2 linked regions of the Drosophila melanogaster genome follow. The protein of the gene in region 1 interacts with the protein of each later gene in a biochemical or structural test. Each region holds a gene or a part of one and is shown in the gene's direction. Other genes may lie near its edges.

Region 1 (8,791 bases):
CATTTCACATCTTTGGTAAGATCTAATAGACGTATAAATATTAAAGCAATTTGAAAATATTTTACTAATTTTCTTTGCGTGCACTCGCTTCAGTTTCCGTCAATCTAAGTCGCACTACAAGCTTCCAACAGGAATGCTCTGTGGAAATCAGTGAAAAGATCTGAAAAGAGGGCTGGGGGCAGGTACGTTGTGCATATGTATGGGTATCTGTATCTGTATCTGTTTTGTGTCGGCTTGCCGATCGAAAGTCGTGCGCTTTCGCGGCTGCATCAATTACGTCGTTAAATTAATCAGTATTCCTTAATCTCAATAAATTAGAGATAACGCTTAAGCGATATTTTTGCATTTTAAATGCCACACGCTACCGTGAGGGGGGGGGGGGCGGTGGTTGGAGGGAAGGGGGAGGTTGGAGAAGTCGAACCGGTACAGTTATTGGAAATGGGTCCAGTACTACGACATCCCGAAAGCCTTCACATCGCCGTCTACAGAGTCTGCTGCTCACATGGGCGACGAAGTGGGGGAGGGTTGAGGTTTAAAGTATTTTTATAAGTATTAGATATTAATATTAACGTACTAATAATTGAATCAATTATTACTCTGAAACTAACTTATTTATTTTTAGTATACTTCCAATAAGCCCCTCCCCTTAGCCCGCTTTCTGAGTACGCCACTGCTCGCAGAATTCCATGTGGCCACATTAGGGGGGCTCGCTTTTGACAAACACATGCGCACATAAGCATATAAGCATAATTCCGCCTGCCAGCGAGAGTTGATGTTGGTTGGGTGTCTTTTAGAGTCTTGATAGCGCCCCATCAACATCAGCGTGCGACTTCGACAGCGACACACCAACGTCACAAAATCTCGTTTTAGCCAAAGTGGCAGTGGCACAGCAAATACCGTTTCGGCCACAGTTGATCAAGCGATTATTGGGGAGGTGTTCGGTATTAGGTCACCATTGCGAAATGCTTTAATAGTGACTGATATGTATATGTATGTATTTGAGTAAATATATTATCTAGTATTCTTTGGCGCATAAACCACTTCTAAATCAATTAGGAATCACAATTTCTACTATCGCTGCCAACGAGTTAGGAAAACAATCGTGTTTCTTACTCCCTCGCACCATCTCACACTTGCAGGGCTGCCTAAAATGGTTGAGTTAACAAATTGTTAGTAACAGTGTTCAAATTTCCATATGAAACAGACACACACTGTCTCAGTCTTTGCTGGTAAACAATCGTCGGGCGAGTCAACTGGAGTCCAAGTTTGAGACCGCTATAATATGCCAATATAGCAATATACCACCACCCCCTTGCCATTAACCCCTTCGATCCATCGACGATATGCCAACACAGGCGAGACATTAAAACAGAAATTATAATTTTTTGAAGGCCAAGCGTGTGTAGAGCCACTCCGGATCGGCTCCACTTGATTTGGATCGCCTGGCTTTACTTTGGATCGAATTAGCCGGAGCATCTGGTGCTAATGCCCTGCTAAAGGGTGGCGTTTATGTTTTTTGCACACTACTCACTAAGTGCTATTAAGATCTAATAAACTGTATTGATAACGATGATAGCTGGTTGTACAACTGGGCGTATACGTAATTTACAGAGTATTTAACTGATTATCATTTATAGCAATGAAATTAAATAATTATTTGATATGTGCTGCGGTTAAACAATGTTCTTTTTTTATGTAGTTAAATAGTTATAGTTAAATAGTTTTTAAAATGGTCTAAATCTAGTTCTATCTAGTTCTAGAGAGTTTGCCAAGCATTTAGGCAGTTCGAGACCTTTGAAACTTGAGCGTCGCTTGTAGAAAGAACCCCTTTCGTTTTCGGCACTCTGGCGCCCAGAAAAGCTCCTTTCGAGATTTGGCGCGCAGTTTGAAACCTGAGTTTAGTGCCTTGCGTGTCCAGTTTGTCAAATTTGGTTGTGATTACGAGACGGAGACCGAGACGGCGACGACAGTTAGCCATTCGCCACGCGCCAACGCAAATGAAACGCTCTATACATATTTTTGTATATTTTCTGTTTTTTTTTGCCGCTGACAATTATGATCAAGTATTAGCTGGCGATAGCTGAAACGTCTGTGTAATTTCAATGGAATGGAATGGGAAGTGGGCGGCCTATTGATACACTGCTCGAGTGATTTTAACTTTTATCTGATCATTCAAACGCATAAATTAGTCTTGAGAACTTCAATTCATTTGATACTCCAGTTAACATGCTATTTACATGCTCATTTAAATGGTAGTAGTGATTTATAAGCCCACTTCCAGATGGAACTTACCTATACCAACGTGTTACTTATCGTTCTTAAGCCAACTTAATAGCATTCTAAAATATATATGTATCTTTTGGCGGACTTATCTTCTTGTTGTTCTCGCATTCCAAAATCTCTATGTACATGCAAACTTTTATTGTCATAACTCGGGACTTTGCAGACTTTGAGGCCTATTTAATAGAGCTATAATCTTACAACAAAAAAAAACTAAAAGAGCTTTTTAAGCAATAAAAATATTCTGAAAAATTACAAATTAACAAAAAATTACCCAATGAAGCCTGCAAATTTGAAATCTTTAAGATCCTAGATATGCCAAGATGCACCCTAAAGTCCTTAACTCATCTCCTTGGCTCGTTTCTAATCCCCCCTCTCGAGGGATCGAGACGATCGCATCGGGTCGGTCTTTAAGTTTGGATGATCCATAAACTGTTGGTTTCTCCGTCCTCAGCGTCTAGACTTCATTAGCCGTGTAATGTTGCGGAATTTATGTGGCAGGCACATTAAAATAACACCGATACACACTCTCATGGACGCGAACGTGTGTACAAGTATAGAGATATCGGGCCTAGGCGAAAAATGAAATTAAAAAAAAAAAAAAAACTGGCACCGGGAGGGGCTTATTTTTCGGTGGTCGGGGATGCGGGGGACTTTGACCATAAAATACATGCTCCCAAAAAGCTCGCACACTGCAAGAGATGCGGGGCACTTCTGAGTCCCATATTCATATGCACAAATGTGCATTGCTGGCATTATCAGTAGAATGCAATTTCGGGAAATTTTCCATCGCATCACGAGACAATGAACGTAAGAGAGAAATGGAGCCTCAAAGAGGGAGGGAGAGAGAGAGCTTGAGTGAACGAGCGAGCGACAATCGCGAGATAACGGCTGCCTTATCAGCAATGCCGACCGCCCCATCACCCCACCCAAAACGCCCAACCACCACCCACCGCCGCCGTTCCCTTTCCTCCATCGTCGAGAATTTCGAGTTCAGAGCAGCGCGACCGAAATGAAAAGAAACAATTTAAATTCCAAATGTATAAAATAGGTAAACTATGGCTTTTATTTATTAATATTGACGGGGGCACAAAGGCGGTCACCTCAATAGTGAATAACATGTTTTTTATAATGAATACTTTTCAAATTGTTATTAATATGCAATGACGTCTTAAATGTTTCACTGCAGCTGAACTTTATTCTTTTCATTAAAACAGTCACCCGTTATTAAAAATAAATAGATTAAGTTTTATATTATTAAATTTGTAAGTATTGAAACAATTCCTTTTTTATTTTATACGAATTATCATTTAGTTGGGGTTAATATCCCTTAAAGAGAGAAATTTGTATGCTTTAAGATTTAAAATATCTATTGCATTTATAGCTATAGCTATAACTTCTCTTATTTCACGCAGAAAATACTCAAATAAAACATATCGATTTGGCATACCCCACTAATTTTTTGGCCCCAAGTGTGTGAGAGTGTGTGAGACGAAGCGCGCCACAAACATAAAAAAGCGGTGAAGTGAGCGGTTGTGGAACGTGAGTGGATGCTAAGAGCAAGCTCTCACATACGCGGACATAGGTCGCACACACACACGCACAGACCGCCTTTTTGCGCCGCCGAAACGAACACTTTTACGAAGGCGACGGCGAATCAGTTTCAGTTGTCAGTTCGCATCCAACTAGAAAGCAGTTAACGAGTAGTCTGTGTTTTTTCGCTTGCGGTTAAAAGCCACGAGGTCGTTCATCGTTCATCGTTTTCCTTTTCAACTTCAAGCAAAGCAAATATAAACCAATGCAAAAAACGCAGTGATCTTTTGAGGCCCAAATCGTTTGGGGCCGAACACCGTTGATTCTAAAACGCAAATGTAGAAACAAATCAAGAAAGTGGAAAATAAATATGTTTCGCTTTCAAAACATGTGAATGTGCCGAACTCAAAACTGAAACGTAGAAGGAACGCGTTCGTTTTTTACATACGACAATCGTATAAAATAAGAGAAAAGCTCCAAAACGTATTAAATAGCGATGCTTGGATGATCTTCGTAGCAGTCACGTTGTACATACAAATACATACATATGTACCTACTATATGGCACATAAAATACGTTACGCACACTAGTGGCGAATAAAAAGCGAATTGGAGTAAGCTCCGAAACGTGTTTATATTAAAATTTTTTACCCATTTGAACTTTAAACAACTTTTCGACTGCGCCGCACGGTTTTCATTGAATTCTCATACGAATTCCAATTAAGTGTTGTGTGTGCGTCCAATTGGCATGAATTGATGACGTGACGTGATCGCTCTCTTCGCTCTCTCCCTCTCTTTCTTCGGCACACACACATACACACACTACGCTCTTTAATCGCGCCGCTCTCTTCGCGCTCTTTTTATTTGTTTATTTTGATTGTTGTTATATATATATTCTAATTTACCGTTTTTACAATCGTCTTTAGCTTAAGCAAAACCGCCGCCCAGCAACAACAAGAAACCCATTTAATGAGTGTGTGTGTGTGTGAGCAGAAAATTATGCCAACAGAATTCTAAAAAATATATATGTATATATTTAAATAACCACTAAAAATCAAGAAATCCGCACAAGTTTCGCTCAAAACAACAACACAATCATATATACTACCCATAAAAAAAAAACAAACCCATAAAAAAGTGCAAAGCAACCAGGAAAATAAAGTAAAACAGTGCCAGTTAACAACAGCAAACGGCGATCAACAAATCCCACCGGCAAAATCAACAATTTTTTAAATCGCAATCAACAAGGAGCAACAAATTAGCCAGCTATTTCCCATTGCAAACATTTGGCGGGTAAATATTATTAACAATTACGAGTAGGTGTACTTGATTGAATGAAAAATGTCATGTTTTTTAAGTTCCTAAATTCGATTCGAATCTAATCGGCAATTGATTGAAATATTCTAAAAGTCAAATTTTGTTTCGTCACGCGATTAAAAAAGTAATTGAAGCAGTGCTTTCCTACACATCAATTAAAATTTAAATTAAATGGTATTTTATGTTGATTACAACAACATTTTTTTTAGTCGCCACAATAAAATATTCATTCTTCCGTGAAATATTTCCAATATAAATTGCTATTGCTATATTTATAAAAATAAGCTTTGATAAAAGTTAAGAGGTTTAATAGAAACTAGAGTTAGGTTCTTTTATTTATATTGGTGTTTAGAATTTTAGATAGGAAAGCTGGACTTTTTGTTGTGTTAAAGTAGTCACATCTATTGAATTTACGACCCAAATTTTAATACAACCGATAGGGAATGTGATTTATAACCTTATTCGAGTAATTCCTAGTTTCACTTTCAAGATCAAAACGACTAGAATCATAAAGTCGGTCACGTTCGGCGCTGCAGTGTCGCTCCAATAGATGATCTTTCAGTTCGTGTGGGTTTTGATTAGTCCGTTTTGGTGTGTTACTTGTCATGGGAGTGGGCAGGGGAGATCTTAATTAGAGCAGCGCTGATAATGGCTCTAAAAATAGAGCCCCAGCGCCACACTGATAGCAGAGCTTGAAGCGTGTGTCGTTTGCGTGGAGCTCATTTCTTTCGTTCTGTGTTTGTTTGCTCCCCCGATTTTCGTATGCGATCCACTAAGGTCGATTTTGTTGCCATATTTTGCCAGCGATCTCGTATACGCACCGTTTTCAGATGCTTTTGAATATTCTCTTGACATCAGTATTGACATTGAAATGTGATTAGGTTTAATTTTCATAAATGGGTTGATTCGCCACTCGGTTAGCTGTCGAAAGAGGCTTTTTTATTCCCCATTTACAGATAAGGCTTTTATCTATTCGCAATGTGCCAAGGTACAACAGCAGCTGATGGCCCAAAAAAAGTGTACATATAAGCCTATACACACATCTGTATAGTCGTCCTATGTGCTTGCGATTGTGACTTTTATCATATCTTGAGTGTTTGCTAGCCACATTGGTGGAACGTGCCAGTTGATAACAAGAAAGTGTGCGAAAGTTTGTCTAAAAAGCTGTAATTGAAGCAGGGAAACCGGGAAGTCAATTAATTTTGAGAGACAACATTAAACGTATTCTTCGTATTCTAGTATTCTTCAAGAATTAGTAAAGCTCTTACTAATAAGCTCGTTTGAGAATGACGATAAGTTATATCGATAATGTCGATTTTACCGATAACCGAAAAACGTTAGTAATGGAAATTTAATGATCATTAAATGAGAGCCACTACATATTGTTTTGTTTAGAAAGATATAGTCGGAATACCAGTAGTTATTTCTTAGTATTATTTTGTGATTTTTAAATATTCTACTCAGATGTGTAGAACTTTTTTTCGAACGCTTCTTTTTGCTTAATTTATTTCGTTTTTCGCGCCGACCCCAAAAACGTTAGTAATGCAAATCGATTGCGTTTGCGAAGTCAGATGATCCCATCCATGATTTCCATGCGTCAGTTGTCCCAGCTGTCAATCGAAGATCGCCGTTTGGGGGCTCTACGTTCCTGGTTGACTTCGCCATCGGTCGAGTGGAATCGAATCGTTCGTTTGCTCTTTAATTATTGTAATGAATTCAATAAACATTGCAGGGCCTCTGCCGTTCATTTGCATTTGCGTTCGCACTCGCTGCATTCTGAACTATTGCACATTGCCTGGTCGGGCCTCTCCTTCTCTATATAGCGATATATATGTATATGTATATGTATATATAAATATATAGAAATCTACATATGTATTCATTTATATATATGTAATTCTCTATTTCTCTTAGTTGCTCTAGAAGCGCGTGATTCTCTCGCAGATCCACGTGCCGCCAGATAACTGCACTTTCAATAAGCTTTTATTTGAATAAGCTTCCGCGATAATTGACTTAATAAATTATTAAATATTAACAGCGTAGAAAAAACCAGAATGCAATGACTGACATGGCATCTCCTTGTGGATTTTCTAATGCCAAGTTAATAGGAAAATCATGCAAAATAGCTGGAAAGTGCATTAGGGCCCGACTGAGCTCACAAAAATGTCTTAATATATCATTTTCAATCACTGCATTACCAGATTCCTAAGTCTTAGTCACTTTCCAATGATTAATATATACACATATAAATTATTGTTATTTATTTCCCAAAACTAACTTTAATATCAAGCAAAAACGCAGTGGTACAGAAAACCAACAATTAAAGCACAGTACAAATAATATGAAAAAGAGCGCAGATTGAAAGTGCCACAAAAAAGATTTGTTGTCCAAGGTTTATGCTTGGCATTGTAAAGGGGTTATTGTGGCGTTGCTTGGGGTCAGAGGTTTGGAGGGTGCCCACCGCGATAAGCAGCTGGTCGCCACAGAGGGAGAGGGATACAAACAGATAGAAACGGGTGCCGGCGAGTGGAGCTGCTGCTCCACATGGCAACAGTTGCTGGCTGGCGGGGAGTGCATAAATATGATGTGCATTGCTTTCGTTTCAGCTCTTTATCGCTTCTTTATCTTTGGGGTTGCGTGATAAGAACGCACTCGGAAAAAAAGCGACAGCACAAAGTGTCGACAGGGAATTATTGGGAATTATTACAGGGAGTTGCGAAGTTGAAAACCTTTAAAGTGAAATTAGAAAAGTGAATCAATTATATTTTTTATTCAACAAAAAAGGAAGCTTAACTTAACACAAAAACACTTAAAGCCCGATCAAACTTTTACTGTAAGATTATAATAATAATACCAGACCAATATAATTTTAAGTCGATTTTTTTTCAATATTAGGCTTAACTTTCCTTTAACCGGAAGTTCGCCCATGTACCGTTTTAACCTGAAGTTATAACTAGTCCCTTGGCAAGCCGAACTCGTCGCTCTCGCGTTATATTGCTTTATCAGCAGGTTAGTCCATGACGAGTTGATATTGCTGGGCATAATTCACTTTCGAAGGCAAAGGTCGTTCGGTTTTATGGAGGGTGACACAGCACAGCACACACATTTTGAGATCCCCGGCACACCGGAGTGGCCGACAAGTGGGTTCGATGTGGCCTCGTCATCGTCACCGCGCCATCGTCATTATTATGATCATCATGGGGTCGCGAGGTACTTGAGATCATGGGCCTGGAACCGAACCTGGGCTTTGGGATTGATACCGTCGCCGTTGTCGTCGTCGTCGTCGTCGCCGCCGTCCTCTTCATCTCGAAGTCGGCTCATTAGGCAGGGTAGACCGGACCAGATTGGTTCAGACCATACCAGTTGCTGTGCTGCTCGAATACCTACCTCCTCATCGACGACCAGCTGTCAGTCTTGCTTTTTATTTTCTCTGTTTTTGGTTTTTTTCTTTTCGTTTTTCGATTTTTTCTTCTTTTTTTTTTTTGGCCGAGCATCGGGCTTTTCTCGCATTGACTTACTTTGCTTTATAATCCTGTTTGACGGGTTGTGCTGCTGGCTGCTGGGGTGTAGATCTCTTTTACTTCCACATTGCTGAACCCGGTCATGTGTGATGAGAGGGGCAGGTACAGCGTTGAGCAGCAGCATGGGAGGAAGGGTGAGGA
Region 2 (6,804 bases), 6.6 Mb from region 1:
CTTGAAAGAAAACATATGGCGATATATGTACCGATAATTGTTTTGGTGTCGAATTACGGAAATTACTAAAAATCAACCGCCCACCCGTTGATAAGAAGGCGACCCCTTCCCTTGGCTTTGCCCTCGAGATGATCAGAGATCTGGATAACATCCATTGATGCACTGTAAAACTGAGTTGGTTCTAACCGCCCTTTACCACATGGGATAAAATAGAAAAGCAGCCTCTAAAATCGTCGGTTCTTGTTAATTAAAACAAAAACGCTGACTTTTATTTAGTATGAATCACACAGTCATAAGTTGTTGGCTGGGGGTGGGAGGGGTCAACTTGAAAACAAAAACAAGAATTCAGGGTCAGCCAAGGCGACCTATGAATGCCCTTACGTGTTTTTTTTTGCAATTTTAGGCAGTTGAATGACTGAAGTAAGCAGGATTTATAACGAATTCGATATGGCCGTTGAAAGAAAAGTTTCCATAATGAAAATCTAAGCCATTAAGGCATATTTCAGAGCCAAATGTTCAAATTCCGTGACCGAACGGGTGGAGTTGATACCGCGGAAAGGGTATAAAAAAGTTACGCGGCACCGATGTCTCATCTCTAAGTCGCGATGCCACAAAAATGGAAATTGCAGACAGTCAGAAAAGTCTTGAAAAGCACACGGATTGGCAAGTTTTCATCGAAGTTTCACTTGCATTGTGGCGCAGCTCGTTTGTTTTTGTTTTTTGCTTCCATTTTGGCCAGCCCTCGCCTTTATAGCGATTTTTTTTTGGGTGTGAGCTGCGCAGTTTACGCTGCTCCTTACTTGATTCTCTGCACCGGCACCTTCAGTTGGCCTCTGTCGGCCATTCCGCGGTATTGTTATTTTTCAAACGCACCGTGCAATCGGCTCAAATTTGTGTTCGATTAAGGAATATTAAATTGTTTTTATTTGTATTGTTGAGATCGTGCTGTTAAGCGTCTGTTAACGAACACAGGGTGACTCCTGTTGAACACAGGGCGTTCTAGGCTGGCGCTGGTTAATATCGATAGTGTTTCATTCGATTGTTATATCGATATAGGTTACAGTTGGCATCAGTATTTATAAAATATACACAAATACACGGTGCTAATAAATTCTTGTTCGTAAACAGTCATAACAGGAAATTGCATGTTAAAAAAAAAATAAATAAAAATAATTAACAGTTCCTAAGAATCAAATTCTTTTAGATAAAATCATAGCATACAAAATAAAATTCAACAAAAAGTAACAGTCGATAGTGATTCACTGCTTAACTGATTTAAATAATATCGATATTACTGTTGTTGAGTTGACAAGCAGTGCAAAGTAACAGAAACGATGACCACCTTATCGCGTTTTGGTATTTATATATGTATGCTATCAGAAATGAGATATTTCAGCATCAGTTGGGATTTCAAATATTTCACTTGGGAACAAATTTTTAGATGTGTATGAATAAAAATAATAAATGCGTCTTCCAAATACTTGTTCGGCCTTGTTAAATTAATTTTAATTTATAAATTTAAGCCAATGGACATAAAAATCAATGATTTTGGGTAGATTATGATTTAGTTATTAAGCTGGCTTTAATCTTTGGAGAAAAGTACGAAGCCCCCTGCGTGCGACACTGATTAACAGCATTCACTTGCGATATTTCGGTCACACAGAGCGCTTAACAGCATATCGTGCCAAAATGAGGAGATATATTCTAAAACAGTAAGAGGTTACACTGTTTGTTGACAAAAAGGTAAACAAAGTGAAAATTTCGCAAAATGTGCAAAATAATTAAGTAAGGGTCAGTAAAAGGTGCTACTGGTTAATCGGACCATAACAACTACCCATTTAACACATACCATGCATGACTTGGATATCTCGTGAAGTACACAAACCAAAACAATGAGCGACTCCGACGAAGGTGAGATAACACAACTTTTAGTGAAATTATGCACAATATGCTAGTTTTGCGCAAATTTAGTCAGAGTGCAAATGAGCATTATACGCTTGACTATGCAAATTACCTAAGTGGTGCAATTAAAACTTCAACCAGTTGTTATTGGTTTTTCAACAACACCAGCAAGGGCACAGGGTGACATTGGTGCAATGGAAGTGGGCGCGCAAAAACTTTTTTCAAACAGCCACCCCCCACAGAAGCAACTGGTGCAACCACTGGACCATCCGACACCCACGAAGAGACAAATCAAAACAAATGCCACGCACTCACCCAATGCCACATTCTTGAACAAGTGCAACAGTTGCCGCGCTTCTTGGGCTCCGACTTGCGCAGTGCGACATAAAACGGCCTGGATCAATGACCACAAAAACGTGGCCATCGATTTTCCGCAGTTCAGTTTTTGCTAGCGGCGCGTTCGGTCATCATACCGATGCCAATTAATTTTTGGGGCTTATTCGCACCGATTTGGGTTACATAATGTCATGGAAATTCAGCATGGAACATCCCAAAACTGGAACTGAAACAGCTCTGGAAGCCTGTGACTACTTCGTGGATGAGGTCATTGAGGCATCCTCAATACGGGGTGGGAATTGGTTTATTCCAAAGGTGCTGTGTATTAGTTAACCAAGCAAAACTTATCTTTCACAGATGCCCGCGAGGAAGTGCGTCAGATCAAGCACGGGGAGCTGCGAACGGCAGTGATCTCTGGCGATGAGCGGACTGTGCGGGTGCTGCTGGCAGCTCTTGGAACTGAGCGTCAGATTATAGTCAATATGGCTCCTTCAGGAGCAAACACCCTTCTATTCCTGTGAGAAAAAGTCTTTTAGAATTAGTCCATTTTGAGCCAAACTAATATCGGTCTCGTTTTAGAGCCTGCCAGTCTGGTTACGAGAGCATTACACAGCGATTGCTGGATGCTGGAGCGGATGGTCGCTCCCATGCCGTGACCAAGTACTCACCCTTGTACGCCGCCGTCCATAGCGGTCACTTGGGCATTGCCCGACTGATGCTAGACCATTTTCCAGAACTGATCCAGCAGCCGACTGTAGAGCGCTGGCTGCCGCTGCACGCCGCCTGCATCAATGGACACATCAAGCTGCTGGAACTCCTTATCAGCTACAGTTATCCCGACTACCTCTACCAGACATATCGCGACGAGGAGGGCCAGTGGGAATGGCGGCTCCCCTTCGACGCTAACGCTCATGATGTGACGGGTCAGACGAGTCTGTATATTGCCAGCATCCTAGGAAACAAGCAGCTGGTTGGTGTGCTTCTAAAGTGGCAGCTCCATTGCCGGCGTACGTTGGGCGATTCCGCCAGCTCGGTGAGCACTCCTATTACGCCCACCAGGAAACGTATTTCATTTGGCATTCAGGCTATCATGTCCAAACTGCACATATCTGGAGAGTCAGAAGGACCCGACGACCTAGCTTCACAAGAGTCAACCGAGTGCCAACGGTGTCCCATTAACGTGAATCTGCTATGTGGAGCGGCGAGAGAAACAGCTCTGCTTGCGGCCGTTCGAGGCGGCCACCTAGACGTGGTGCAGTCTCTGCTACAGCACGGCGCAAATCCGAATATTGTAGCCAAGCCAGTTGAGGATCACAACGACCCGAAATGTTGCGAGGAAATATATGGGCTCAGTAATGTCCCCATTGCAGAGGCCTGCAAGCAAAGGTCGCTGGCTATGTTGGATCTCTTGCTTAAGCATGGAGCCCGCGACGATAATGGCACGGCCATTGGAATGGCTATTACATGCGGCGACGAGGCCATCCTGAGTCGTCTTTTGGCCCGACGAGTCCATCCGGACTCAGACTACAAGATCAACAAGAAGGGTCTTCCCACACCAGTGGAGGTGAACGTGTTTTTGCCGTCCACCAGCAACATATCTTACAGTGCTATGTTCCCCAACAATCCAACCATTATTGACTGGCACAGCATGGGCTCCAGTGTCCAGTTGTCTGTTGTAAGGGTTCCCTGGATGGTCAGCGGTGTGTTGCTGCTGAATCCTAAGCTACAGTCGCATCCGCGACTTAATGAGGTTGCTCTGACAGCTATCACGCGAATAGATTTCTCGCACAACGTTCTCACGTCAATTCCACAGGAGCTTTTCCATTTGGTTAGCCTAAGGTTAGTAAAGACAAAGTAATAAGTTTTTCAAGAATTATATTAGTCCTTCATTTAAGGTATTTAAATGTGGCGCAAAACAAGATAACCGATCTACCTGCACCAATAGGCCAGACATATGGGTGTCCGGTACTGGATGAACTCTTTCTACAAGACAACCAGTTAACTACGCTGCCAGCCGCCATCTTTCACCTGCCCGCCCTATCTATATTGGATGTTTCAAATAACAAACTGCAACAGCTTCCCTTCGACCTGTGGCGTGCACCCAAGTTGCGCGAACTTAATGTGGCCTTCAACCTATTGCGGGATCTTCCTGTGCCGCCAATGCAAACTAGCAGTTCGCTGCTGAGCCTAGACAAATTGAATCTGCAATCTTTTGAGGAGCCGCCATCAAACAAACCGCGAAATGTGACTCAGCAACGTCTCACCCATCGCAATCTATGGTCGGCTACTTTGGACATAACCGATAATGACATGAAGTGGCAGCATGAACAAGATTTAGGCGATGGAAAGACAGCTGGTGTGGGCTCCTCCCAGCTAAGTAGCTTAAATATAGCAAATAACCTCTTCACCAGTATCCCCGCTGCTTTGCCCTGTCTGGCTGTAAACCTAACACGGCTGAATATGTCATACAACAGTCTGCGTTCTATGGGACATGTAACCAGTTACCCGGCAACACTTAAGCAGTTGGATCTAAGTCACAACGAGATATCCTGCTGGCCAAGTTTACCGCGAATTACTGAATCGGATCCGCATCTACTGTGCTACAGTTGTGTCCAGCTACCAGAGGGTCGAGATGACGACTACAAGACGGCCTCCTCAAAGGGCAGTAGCTCGTCTGCCACATCGTTTCGCGCTTCGGTGTTAAAAAGTGTTTGTCGGCACAGGCGTCATCTGCGCCTGGAGGCTCTACGCACATTGATCTTGGCTGACAATCTGCTTACGCGCATCCAACTATCAACTGATGACGCCACAACCCTTTTCAATGAAAGTGAGGACGCCGATTGGAGTGTGGTAGGCGTGAACCGGTCTAAGGTGATATTTCCCAACCTGTCTATGCTGGATATGACCAACAATTGCCTGAAGGAGATTCCCGCCTCGTTGCACGAACTGAGCAGTCTGTCAGTGCTGAATATTAGTGGCAACGTCAACATCACGGAACTGCCGCCGCACTTGGGACTGCTGTCGAGACTTTGGAATCTTAATACGCGCGGTTGCCTACTGCAGGAGCCACTGCGCTCTATGATCGAGAGCAAGAAGCACAAGACGATGGACATTGTTGGATATCTTAAATCTATTTACGAAGATGCTCAGCCCTACGCACGGATGAAACTGATGGTGGTTGGTGTGGCTGGAATTGGCAAGAGCACTCTGCTGGACTTACTGCGCCAGGGGGCGGGCTCAGGGTCCAGCTCCAGCTCTCATCGATCGCGCGCCAGCGAAAATCATTGGGCCAAGCGAATGGGACACGCACGCAGCACATCTCGATCTCATCGCCATTCGTCGGCTTCTAGCGCAAACATTTCTACAGTAGGAGTGGACATTGGAACATGGATATGTGAGAAACGAAAGCGAGCACCCGGCTCCCACGGCCCAGTGGTGTTTCGTACTTGGGATTTTGGTGGTCAGAAGGAGTACTACGCCACACATCAGTACTTTTTGTCCAAACGGAGTCTGTATTTGGTGCTCTGGCGCATTAGCGACGGTCACAAGGGTCTGGCGGAGTTGCTGCAGTGGCTTGGCAACATTCAAGCGAGGGCTCCCAACTCCCCCGTAATCATTGTGGGCACACACTTTGATGCCGTTGGTGAATCCATCTCGCCCCAAAAGGCAGAGCAACTGCAGCAATTGATTCGGGAGAAGTTTATCGCCATTCCCGATGCGGAAAAAATTGGGCTGCCACGGGTGATTGATTCCATCGAAATAAGTTGCCGGTAAGTTTTTGAATTATTAATATGACTTCAAAGTCTAAAAAATACCGCTTTGAACTTTAGGACCCTACACAATATCCACTTATTGGCCAACATTATTTACGACACCGCCATGCAACTGCGATCCCCTGGTTCCAAGGAGCCCATGCTACTGCAAAAGATCCCCGCCAGCTACATTGCCTTGGAGGATATTGTGAATGTGATTGCATGCAATCTGCGCGCTGCTGGGCGAGATCCCGTCCTGGATGGTGAACAATATAAGCGCTTGGTCACCGAACAGATGAGATTGCACAACTACAAGAGCTTCCGGGATGCCGCTGAGCTGCAGCAGGCCACTACATGGTGCCACGAAAATGGAGTTTTATTGCACTATGATGATGCTACGCTAAGGGACTACTACTTTCTCGATCCACAGTGGCTTTGCGACATGCTGGCCCATGTGGTCACCGTGCGGGAGATCAACCCCTTTGCTCCTACGGGCGTGATGAAGCTGGATGATCTCCAGATGTTGTTCCGAAGTGTGCAGGTTCAAGGAAATGGAAACAGAAGGTATTTAAATGAGTGTGCATAACTATGTGGTAAAGTATTTTTGTATTAATTAAAATTTCTTTCTTTAAGCTACATTGTCAGTCTACTTAACAAGTTTGAGGTTGCTTTAACGTGGGATTCGAGAACTCTACTCATACCCTCCTTACTGCCTTCGCAGGAGGCAGCTACACCCAATTCAGGAAGCACGGTTAAGCTATCGCAACGATCTCGCGGCCGTAGTTTGGGTTGCTCTGTATCGCAAGAAGTAAAT

The links.
Region 2: of the proteins of foxo (region 1) and Lrrk, one has a biochemical effect on the other in vitro, tested with the Drosophila melanogaster proteins (one study listed by BioGRID).

What each region holds. Positions count from the first base shown.
Region 1 is NT_033777.3:14,053,003-14,061,793, forward strand, and holds the start of foxo (forkhead box, sub-group O), read left to right. Parts: upstream 1-3,942; 5' UTR 3,943-4,022; exon of another isoform or gene 4,023-4,426; intron 4,427-4,738; 5' UTR 4,739-5,105; intron 5,106-8,791. UniProt on the Drosophila melanogaster protein: Transcription factor involved in the regulation of the insulin signaling pathway. Consistently activates both the downstream target Thor\d4EBP and the feedback control target InR.
Region 2 is NT_033777.3:20,633,746-20,640,549, forward strand, and holds the start of Lrrk (Leucine-rich repeat kinase), read left to right. Parts: upstream 1-1,734; 5' UTR 1,735-1,892; coding exon 1,893-1,911; intron 1,912-2,070; coding exon 2,071-2,343; intron 2,344-2,353; exon of another isoform or gene 2,354-2,442; coding exon of another isoform or gene 2,443-2,530; intron 2,531-2,595; coding exon 2,596-2,755; intron 2,756-2,817; coding exon 2,818-4,077; intron 4,078-4,133; coding exon 4,134-6,008; intron 6,009-6,068; coding exon 6,069-6,554; intron 6,555-6,623; coding exon 6,624-6,804.